Linked DNA regions of Oryctolagus cuniculus. The protein of the gene in region 2 interacts with the protein of the main gene of each other region in a biochemical or structural test. Links are inferred from orthologs where the notes say so. Each region holds a gene or a part of one and is shown on either strand. Other genes may lie near its edges.

Region 1 (5,634 bases), on a different chromosome or scaffold from region 2:
ACTGAGTCGGATGATGACAGACGCTGGGAGAGGAGGCAGGTGAGGCTGGCCACAGCCAGGAGGCTCACCATGTCAGGCAGTTCAGGAAGGCCTCCCTGAGGTGCCGTCCACCTGGGTGGACAGCCAGAGGAGGTGGTCTGTCTGGGGAGGGGCAAATGTGAAAGCTCTGGGTCAGGAGCGAGGGTCAGCCAGGCCAGTGCCACTGGGATGGAGGCAGAGCAGAAAGGATGAAGCCAAGAGGATGCCTGGCCTTGGAAGGCGGGAACCACCACAGCTCTTAATCAAGATGCACTCTCATGACTGGTTAATCTTCCAGCCCCGCCCAGCCTCTGTTGTAGTGGGCATGTCCTAATCAAGATGCACTCTTACGATTGGTTTATCTTCTGGCCTGGCCCAGCCTGTTATAGTGGGCATTTGGGGAATAAACTAGTGGATGGCAGCTCTCTGCCTCTCCAATTTATATATTTATATATAATTCTTGGCCGGCACTGCGGCTCACTAGGCTAATCCTCTGCCTTGCAGCGCTGGCACACCGGGTTCTAGTCCCAGTTGGGGCGCCGGATTCTGTCCCGGTTGCCCCTCTTCCAGACCAGCTCTCTGCTGTGGCCAGGGAGTGCAGTGGAGGATGGCCCAAGTACTTGGGCCCTGCACCCCATGGGAGACCAGGATAAGTACCTGGCTCCTGCCATCAGATCAGCGCGGTGCGCCGGCTGCAGCGTGCTGGCCACGGCAGCCATTGGAGGGTGAACCAACGGCAAAAGGAAGACCTTTCTGTCTCTCTCTCTCACTGTCCACTCTGCCTGTCAAAAAAATAAAATAAAATAAAATATATATTTACGTATAATTCTTTTTTTTTTTTTAAAGAAAGTTCATGAGGGAAAGTGTCACAAAGAAAGTGCTGGTCATCTTGGGCCTAAAAATGAAATACGTGTCCTTTAGGCACAGGGATGAGGAAGAAGAGGCCAGCAGTGTGGCACGACAGGTTAAGCAGCCGCCTGCGATGCCTATGTCCCATATCAGAGTGCCGGTTCGAGTCCCAGCTGCTCTGCTTCCAGTCCGGCTCTCTGCGAGTATACCCAGGAAGCAGTGGAAGGTGGTCCAAGTGCTTGGATCCACATGGGACACCCAGATGGAATCCCTGGCTCCTGGCTTCAGGAGCTTCACTTCCTGGGAAGTGAACCATCAGATGGAAGATCCACCCCTCTGTCTGCCTTATCAATGAATGAATGAATGAATGACCTTTCCAAAATGTGGCAAGAGTGTGCGCAGAGGCAGGTGTGAAACAGCACAGGCTACTGGGAGACTCGCAGTGACTGGGGGGAGGGGGCTGAGGGCATCCATCACCCACCACATCCACCTCGGGCGGCCCCTGCCCTCAGCACGCCGGTCCCCTTGGAGTGGAGCCTGGCTGCGGTGCTTCGCACGGAGCAGGTGCTGGGAAGCCTCTGCTGTCGTGTGAGACTCAGGGCCTGCAAGCCCAGCGAGATCTAAGTGGCCATCTGGTCCGAAGTTCGTAAGAGCCTCGCTGTGGGGGTGCAGCGGCAAAGCCCCAGCTTGCAGTGCTGGCGCTCCCGGCTGCTCCACTCCCCATCCAGCTCCCTGTAATGCATCCAGGAAAGCAAGGGAGGAGGGTCCAAGAGCTTGGGCCCCTGCACCCGCATGGGAGACGTGGAAGAGGCTCCTGGCTCCGGCCTGGCCCAGCCCATGTCATTGCGGCCATTTGGGGAGTGAACCAGCGGATGGAGGCGCTTTCTCTCTCTCTCTCTAACTCTAACTCTAACTCTGCCTTTCAAATAAATAAAGTAAATCTTAAAAAAAAAAAAAAAAAAAAACGCCCTCTAGGTGGTGACAGACATTTCCGGGTATCTATGGACCTTCCATATGGGAAAAGGCACACCCCACCCCCAAACCTGAGCATTCTCTCTGGGGACTACAGATAGCCTTACAACTCTTCCCATGGGCTGAGGCTGAGTCCTGTTCTAATCAGCACCTTCATTTCACAGGCAGTGAAACAGAGAGGGGTGGGCGTTGTGGCACAGGGGGCCACGCTGCTGTGGGAGCCTGCATCCATATCAGAGTGCTGGTTCCCCCACCGCCCCGCACTTCCCATCCGGCTTCCTGCAAACACGCCTGGGAGGCGGCAGGTGATGGCCCGAGTGCTGGGGCCACTGCCACCACGTGGGAGACTGCATGGACTTGCTGGCTCCTGGTTTCGGCCTGGCCTAGCGCTACCTGTTGGTTATCTGGGGAGTCCACCAGTGGACGGAAGATCTCTGTCTGTCCCTCTGTCATTCTGCCTTTCAAATCAGCCCATCGTTAAAAAGAGAGAGAGAGAGAGAGAGAGAGAGAGAGAAACACACACACACAGAGGTGACTTGCCCTGGGTTACACCCCGAACCACGGAACCCTGGCTCCCGGCTCCCGGCCGCCCCACCGCCCGCCAGGCCCTGAGCCCTGCTGACCTTGGTCTGCTTCTTCTCCGTGGCGTAGACGATGGAGGTGCAGCACACCTCGGCGATCTTGCGGCCCTGCCCGTAGAAGGACCAGCAGCAGATCTCGTCCCCCAGGACGTCCTTGAGGAAGAGCAGCCGCCCGTGGAAGCGCAGGGCCAGCTTGTCAAACAGCTCGATGTTCTTCAGGAGGTTGTCGTCCGAAGTGCTGAGGAGGGGCCGGGCCTCAGCCACTAGCTCCCTCCGCCCTCCCCTCCCCCTCCCCCGGGTTCCCAGCACTCTGGTCCTGCGGGGGGGGGGGTCTGGCACCCCCAGGGAGCTGCCTACCCTCTGGGGCCCAAAGGAAGGCGCATTTGCCGAGAGCGAGAGCGCAAGCCAGTGCCCTGAGAGGCCCTGCAACCAGGCTGCTGCCAGCCCGGCTCCATCCAGTGACACCAGGCCATTCACCTCAGCTCTCGGTGCCTCAGTCCCCCCGCCCCTCCCCCGTCTGTGAAACGGAAGTCGCGAGCACACTGTACGTCACCAAGGACTGTGTAAGTGGACATGCAGGGTGCACCCAGAGCAATGCCAGAGAGAAAAATCCGCCCTTGGCACGGCCCAGCCGTTGCCACTGCCACTGCCACCCAATCCCCTGGGCCCCAGCTCTCTGGTCCCCGGCCTGAAGCTCAGAAGTGAACATGAGCTGTCCAAAGCACTCTGGGGTGAGTGCCAGGGCAGGCGCTGCTGGAGTCCCTCTGCAGGGCCCTAAGGCTGTGTGGCTGGGGACCGGGACAGGGCCCCCCCCGCCCCCCCACCGGCTCTGCCCCAGCCCCCCACGCCCCGCCCCCGCGTCACCTGGTGTAGGAGTACTTGTTGTTACTGCGGTTGTGCAGGAGTTTCACCACGGGCTGTGGGGGGAGAGGACAGAGGGAGGGGGGTCAGGCTGTAGGGAGAGGCCCCGCCTCCAGGGCTAGGCTGTGGGAGCTCACCTTGGAGGTGCTGGCCAGGAGCTGCTGCTCCTCCCGGGGAGATGTCACAGTGGGGATGACGCACAGCGGGGACAGGTTCTCCCTTTTTTGCTGGGGAAGAAGAGGAAGGTGGTTAACGGCATAACCAAAGGTCTTTCATGCCCCCACTTAGAAGCCCTTGGGGGAAAACGCAGGCTGCTTAGTGGCCCACGGGCAGTGCTGATGTCTCTGGCCTCACCTCTACCACTGTGCCCTGACCCTGCTGGCTCAGGCCCTGTGGACTGCCGTGCGCCAGCCTGTGGCCACCATCACTGTTCCTCCTGCCTGCGCTGCGCTCAGCTGTCTGCAGAGCTGGCTCCGTGGCCCGCTCAGATCTCAGCACCGACAGTGCCTCTGGAAGGGCTGGCCCACCTCCCCACCGGCGCAGCCTCCTCCCTGCAAATTAACGGCTCACCTTCTTCACAGCACTTAGTCCTGGGCATGCTTTTTTTTTTCTTTTTTGTACATTTGTTTATGGTCTGTCTGTTCCTCCACCTCACACAGGCAGCAGGCGCCCAGCACACACGCGGAGCTCAACACGTATCTGTTGCCTGAAAACCCTGGCTGGGTGGGAAGAGGTGGAGAGAAGACCAGAACCAGAAACACGGGCTTCTTTTTCCTCTGCCTTCCAAAATCTTCATGGTCAAACCCCTCTCACCTCGCCCAACCCTGAAAAACTAAAATGTGCAAATCTAGAATTCTAGAAACTCTTACGACTTCTTCTAAAATTACTATGGAAGGACAAATATCTGCAATTATTTAGGTCAGTTTTTACACAGCAGCAAAGAGGAGGGACTGAGGCTCCTGGATGGTGAGATACACTACACAGCCACAGTGATGCGAACGGGGTAGTGCTGGTGCAGAAACGAATGAGAAACCCAGTGGACATAATAAAGAAGCATGAAACAGGCCGGCGCACGTACGAGGGCTGCTGTTTGAACAGACACCTGAGGGCTGGCGTTTGGCGCAGCAGGCTACGCCGCCACCTGCAACGCTGGCATCCCACACGGAGGGCTTGCCTGAGTCCCCCTGCTCTGCTTCCCATGCAGCTCCTGCTCACACACCTGGGAAAGCAGCAGAAGGTGGCTCACGTACTTGAGTTCCTGCCACCCAGGCGGCAGACCCAGATGGAGCTCCAGGCTCCTCCTTCAGCCTGGCCCAGCCCTGGCTATTGCAGCCATTTGGGGAATGAACCAGCGTGATGACTCTCTGTTTGCCCTGCTGTGTTGCTCTGCCTTTCAAACAACTAAACATTCAAAAATAAACAAATTCATTAAAGACGACACCACACATAAGTGCGGGTAAGTGTGGGGTGTGTATTAGTTACCTACTGCTGTTTGACAAATTCTCCCAAACTTCGAAGCTTCAGTTTATAAAGAGCATCTATTATTTCCACACTGGAGAGCCAGGAGTGGTTTAGCCACGTGGTTCTGGCCTGGTGTCCTTAAGGAAGCTGTCATCAAGACGTTAGCTGGGGCTGCAGGCATCAGAGGCACCGCTGCCTTTGCAGGATCCGCTTCTGAGAAAGCACATTCGGACAGCTGGCAAGTCCGCGCTGGCCGGGGCCAGGAAGTGCCCAATTGCTGCCACTGGACTTTCTCACTGACATGCCCGAGTGTCCAGACAGCTTTCTTCACGGCATCTAAGGAAGCAAAGTGGAGGCCTTGTCTTTTTTTTTAATTAATTTATTTTTATTTATTTGAAAGAGTTACAGAGAGAGGTAGAGACAGAGAGAGGTCTTCCAGCACTGGTTCACTCCTCAGATGGCCGCAATGGCTGGAGCTGCGCCGATCTAAAGCCAGGAGCTTCTTCCGGGTCTTCCATGTGGGTGCGGGGGCCCAACCACTTGGGCCATAGCAGAGAGCTGGATCGGAAGAGGAGCAGCGTGGACTAGACCCAGTGCTCATATGGGATGCTGGCGCCTCAGGCCAGAGCTTTAACCCGCTGCGCCAAAGCACTGGCCCCGAGGCCTTGTCTTTCATGACTTACCTTTGTCAGCCCTTCCAGTATGGAAAAAGACAGAAGGGAGTGAAGGGGACCAGAACCAGTGGGGTCCCTGGGGACTGCTTTGGGGCCTAGCTCTGCAGTCTACACTCTAGCCCTCACTGATTCCCACCTCTATCACCTGCACAATACACACTCCCTCTTTTTAAGCTCATATTATCTGTATGCGTCACTGCTCAAAGCAGAGTCTTATA
Region 2 (5,723 bases):
CCAGGACAGGCAGGCGGGCCAAGCCATGGGCCTTCCTCTTTCCGAGTAAGGGTTTTCTGTTGCGGCTGGGCCTCTGGGTGGCCCTGTTGCATGACCTAGCAGAAATAAGACCCAATGCTAATAGGAAATGTGTCCCCAAGCAGACACTGACACAGAACACAGTGCAGGTGTACTGGAACTCAGCATTTTATTAGCGAAGAAGCTCGCCTCAGGCTGGCAGAGGAGAGGCAGGGATGGACAGGACCAGCGCCCACCTGGGGGTTTCCCGGACATCAGGCGTTCCTCCATTTGTTTTCGGGGGAACGCCCTCATGGATGAAACCCCCAGAGAGCAGCAGGCCACTGGCAAGCAGCCAGGGTAGGGGGCGCCCTAGGCACCGCCAGACCCCTTGGACAGCAGGGCTTGGATGTCGGGCTCGATGTCGATGGTGGGGAAGCGGCGGCTGTACCTGCGCACCGGGACGCCATCGGGGCCCACCAGGAACTTCTCGAAGTTCCAGGAAACGTCGTTACGGCACACCGGGGACCAGGTGATGAACTTGGGGTCGGTCATGAGCGCAGTGGGGTCGTCGCTGGGCGCCGGCAGGGCCTCCCGCAGGAAGGCGAAGAGCGGGTGCGCCTTGGCGCCGTTCACCTCGCACTTCTGGAAGAGCATGAAGTTGGGCTCGAACCCGCCTCCAGGCCGGACATACTTGAGGGAATTCAGAATCTCCTCATTCTTGGCGTTCTCCTGTAGGAGAGAAGGGCAGCTAGGACCCGCGGCCGCGGGAGGGAGGGCATGGAAACTTCAAACCGCAAACAAGGAGGTTTTGATGAGTCACCAGGAAGTGGCCTTCGGAGCCCAACCCCGGTGTGCGCCTGCATTCCAGTCGTGACGCGCTGGGGAAGGGAAGGGAGCGAGGGCCCGCCCCGCCAGCGCCCCTGACCGCGGCTGCGCGCCCCCAGCCCCGCCAGCGCCCCCTACCCCCGCCCCGCGCACCTGATGCCCAAACTGGTTGCACGGGAAGCCGAGCACGACCAGGCCCCGGGGCCCGAGGCGCTCTTGCAGCTCGTTCATCTGGGTGTAGTCCCGGACCGTAGTGCCTCAGAGCGACGCCACATTCTCAATGAGCAGCACCTTGCCCCGCAGGGAGCCCAGGTTCACGGGCTCCCCGCCGGCCAGCGGGTGCGCTGAGAAGGAGTACACAGACTGGGCAGCCGCCGCCATACGAGCCGCACACATGGTGTGAGACAAAGCGGAGCTTCCGAAGCGCGGAGCCGGGGTGTTCGGCAGCGCCTCCTTTTAACTGGTCGGCGGCAGGGTCACGTGGCGCAGGCACTTTTTCCGGGCCCGAGGGTCCCGCCTCATCCGGCCTCCGCCTTCCCCGAAGGGTCTCGGCCCCTCCCGCAGCTGGGGACCGGCGGGAAGGTGCGGCCAGAAGCCAAGGTCCGACCACACGGGCCTGGGTAACAGCGCCGAGGGCCCCCTGGAAGCTGTCCTAAAAGCTCCTTAGGGTGTGAGCCTTGGTAGACGGGTCCAGCAGAGCGCCCTCTCCTCTGCCGTGTTCCTCTTGCAGCGTGTGCCCTACTGTCGCCAGCTGTCCCGCAGTTAAGACGGGGTGAAGCTGCAGTGGGCAGCAGCTCTGCGCGGCGGGGCTCCCTGGCGCTGGGCAGGAACGCCAAGGGCCACCCAGGTCACCAGGCTCTGCGCGGTGAGGCTGCCAAGAGCGTGCTCCCATTCGGTCCCAGTCTGCCAATGCCCAGTCGGCCCCAGGGCTGCACTGCCTTGACACAGGTTTTGAGCAGTACAATGCCCTAAAGCCTGGGGCTCGGGTGTCGCCCAAAACCCTCACCAGCACCGAGAAGCCGCCCGGAGTGCGTTCCCACCCACTCCCGACGGTGAACTTGAAAGTGGCACAGAATAATCACGTCCGTGTTCTCTGGGGGGGAAGGAACCCGAGGGGTGGGCCAGGGTGAGAGGGCGGAGTCCTTCGATCCTCCTGCCCTCAGCCCTGGAGAGAGCAACACAAACACCAAGACACTCAAGTTTGGAAAACTGCCTTTATTCTATTAGTAGTTGGAAAACGTAACTGGCACACAGTAAAAGTCTAGTCGGTGGAGAGCAGAGAAGCCGGTGCCGCCTCTGAGGTGGGTGGCTCCTCTTGCAGTGAGGAGAAAGAGCACTGTGAATCAGAGCCAGACCCTGCAGTCCAGGAGAAAGGCTATGCCACTTTCCACAGTTGAAAACCAAATTCCTACGTACTTAACCCAGCTCTGGAGAGGGGCACTGGGATACGTGGGGCTGAGGTGGGGTGATATGGCCATCTTTTATTAGAGAAAGTGACAAAACGGGAATTTAAAAAATCAATTTTCCATCTGACTTTATTTCCAAATACACTTTCTTTTTTTTAAAAAAACCAATACACTTTCTGTGGGGATGACAAATATCAGTATTAGGAAATCCAATTATACAAAAAATACTACATCTAGTCTGGGTAGATATATTTATTTTTGGTAACATACATTAAGTGGCACTAATTACACAGTAACTATAAGGTAACTAACATGAAACCACAGAACTGTAACTCTGCCACAGCTGCAACGTCTCGGACCTTTCTGGCTGAGCACATTTTAAAAAAAAAACTGGATGCCCACCCCAGAGCTATGCCGAATGCCATCTTTGAAGGAGTCAAGCTCTGAGGTGCTAACTCAGCTTCCTTGCAGCTGACAGATGACAGGCAGGACATGTTAGTTATAAAGTAGTTACAGCCTAATTCACAAAAGTTACCAACTGTTTCTCTTTCTAGAAAGAAGCAAGAAGTTAAGAAATTCCTTGAATTAGCGCCTGGTGTGTCAGGTGGGAGTGCAGAGAGGGCTGTTAGAGCAGTGTCAGAAGCCCCTGGCTGGTCAGACGGGCTGGACATCGTTAATAATCATGGTTGGCTTCTAAATACTGGTAGCAAGATGACTTCTGATTTGTAATCTTAGGTAAATTATAGATAAATGAAAAAGGCCAGTAATCATACACTAAGATTAATAAACAGCACTTCAAAATTAACCGCGTGAGGGTTGTGCTTGCAGCGAGGTTTCACAAGACAAGGCACCCGGATTTTTTCTTCCCACGTCTGGCTTGCAGAGCCGCTCTCGTGGCCATTTCAAAAACCTCCCTCACTCCATCTTTGGTCTTTGCTGAACACTCCATGTACCCAAAGGCGCCAATCCTGTTTGCCATATCTCTGCCCTCTTCAGGTTTTACTGGCTCCTGCAACAAAGAAGAATGCTGTCAGCTAACAGTACTAAATACACACAGTAAGCAGTTAGAGATTCAGCTCAAAGTTCTAAGTTGCCAAAGTCCCAAATTTAAACTATCTTATGAAATTGTGACACTGAAATGCAGTGACTACTCCTTTTCCAATATAAAATCTTATTAAACATGCTTTTTTGGGAAGAAATGAGGAAGAGGGAAGAAGTCAGAGGAAAGCTAAGGAAAGAATCACCGATTAAATTACTCAAGCTGCCTATCCAGGGCAAGCACTGGTCTTCCACAGAGGACTGAATGCCATGGAGAGACTGAGACTGTCCTCCCATTCAGACCTCAGCGGGAGAACTTGGTTTGAAGACCTCAACGTTCCTCCTGCTCTGGAGGAAGCCCTGCCATTAGGCCTCTTGGAACTTTTAATTCCCATTTTATCTGAAAAGCAGAGACAGGATCTTCAATCTAAGAGTTCACTCCCCAAATGTCTGTAACTGCCAGGGCTCCCTCCTAGTCTCCCACATGGGTGGCAGGGGCCCCAATACTTAAGCCATCCTCTAAAGGCTTCCAGTGTGTTAACAGGAAGCTGGATCAGAAGCTGAGCCAGGACTCCTACCAGGCCCTCCAACATGGGTATGGGCAATGTAAAGCAGTGCCTTACACGTTGTGCTCAACACCCAGCCTGCCACCTGACTAGATTCTAAAAAGCCAAGATGCTACCTCCATCATCACTTTAATGAAAGCATTAGAGTCTTCTGTCTGGACTCCATGCCTTGGGACTTCCTGCTTCTTTAGTTGCTACTACTTTATCTTTGGCCTCACATGTGCCAAAACAATAAATGAAGAGGCTGATGAAGTTCCTACCTCAGAAGCCTTGACTACTTACTGGGATGGTTCCTGGATGGATGGTACAGTGCTACTGCCTAAGAGAGCCCATCTCATAGGAGTAAGGAGTCTTAGGGATCGATCATGTGTTAAGGTCACAAGTCACTGAGGGCCAGATGGATAGAGAGGCATCTAAAACAACCTGGCCTGTGAGGCTTTCTGCTGGATTCCCTGAACAGCCAACCCTGGGGCCCTCATTCGAGACGGCTACAGAAGACAGAGCCCGCCCCAGACCGTGCCTGCTTCATCTTGGCTAGCTCCCGCCTTGTGTGTTCATCATTCCGAAGATCCTTCTTGTTCCCAACCAGGATGATGGGCACGTTGGGACAGAAATGCTTCACTTCTGGGGTCCATTTTTCTGGGATATTTTCTGAAAGAAAAAATGCACAAATATGGGGCTACAAATAATTCCATCTTGAAGAATATCCTTCAGCTCTAATTGCAAATACTTCCTTTGCTGCTTCAGAAGTATGCTGAACATTTAATGGAATCCTCCTAGTTTTAAAAATGACAGAAAAATGCAAATCTAAGCCCCTCCCTTAAACACTGAGCCACAGGCTTTTCAAGAGAGATGGCCAAGCTCCTGCGGAGGTAGGGCCCAAGTAAGGGCTCAGAAGGCACGGAGGCTCCAGAACACAGAGAAGCTCCACAATAGCCCTAGGGAGACTTCCCACAGGTCTTTGTGGCAGACAATTCTGACTGCAGCTTACAAAAGGGGTCGCCCTTCTGGAGCAGCAGCTGGCCCAAGGTCCACATGTCATCTCTGTTTTTTATTTAAAAGATAAAAAGATTGACTTATTTATTTGAGAGATGGAGTTAGAGAGAGGGAGAGAGAGACAGACAGAGAGAGGCCTTCCATCCTCTGGTTTACTCCCCAAACGGCCAGAGCTGGGCTGGTTGGAAATAAGGGGCCAGTAGTTTCTTCCTGTCCCCCACATGGTTACAGGGGCCCAAGCTCCTGGGCCATCCTCCACTGCTTTTCCAGGCCATAAGCAGAGAGCCGGATCAGAAGTGCTGCAACCGGGACATGAACTGGTGGTGCCCATATGGGATGCTGGTGCCACCAGCAGAGGCTCAGTCCTCATTGCTCATGGACCTCCACCCTTGGATTCAAGTAGATCAAGACTGACTGTGGGCCAGCGCCACGGCTCACTAGGCTAATCCTCCACCTTGCGGCGCCGGCACACTGGGTTCTGTCCCAGTTGCCCCTCTTCCAGGCCAGCTCTCTGCTGTGGCCAGGGAGTGCAGTGGAGGATGGCCCAAGTGCTTGGGCCCTGCACCCCATGGAGACCAGGATAAGTACCTGGCTCCTGCCATCGGATCAGCACGGTGCACCGGCCGCAGCACGCTGGCCGTGGCGGCCATTGGAGGGTGAACCAACGGCAAAGGAAGACCTTTCTCTCTGTTTCTCTCTCTCACTGTCCACTCTGCCTGTCAAAAAAAAAAAAAAAAAAAAAGACTGACTGAAAACATCCAAAAGATAACCAACTGTAGCTTCTAGGCAACATGATACCAACTTGGAAAGGCTGTATAATGTATCATGGTGGATGAGGGCCCCAAACTGAATCTCTAGGACACAGCGAGTGGTCGTTCTCTCTGTGGCAGGG

What was found.
Region 1: of the proteins of RHOA (region 2) and KCTD13, one has a biochemical effect on the other in vitro, tested with the Homo sapiens proteins (2 studies listed by BioGRID, with this or other methods). The link is inferred for Oryctolagus cuniculus from reciprocal best matches to the Homo sapiens genes RHOA and KCTD13.

Annotation. Positions count from the first base shown.
Region 1 is NC_091450.1:7,315,497-7,321,130, forward strand, and holds part of KCTD13 (BTB/POZ domain-containing adapter for CUL3-mediated RhoA degradation protein 1), read right to left. Parts: intron 3,509-5,634; coding exon 3,419-3,508; intron 3,338-3,418; coding exon 3,285-3,337; intron 2,659-3,284; coding exon 2,463-2,658; intron 1-2,462. UniProt on the Homo sapiens protein: Substrate-specific adapter of a BCR (BTB-CUL3-RBX1) E3 ubiquitin-protein ligase complex required for synaptic transmission.
Region 2 is NC_091441.1:99,886,457-99,892,179, reverse strand, and holds the end of RHOA (transforming protein RhoA), read right to left. Parts: intron 4,487-5,723; coding exon 4,356-4,486; intron 3,241-4,355; coding exon 3,067-3,240; 3' UTR 2,026-3,066; downstream 1-2,025. UniProt on the Homo sapiens protein: Small GTPase which cycles between an active GTP-bound and an inactive GDP-bound state.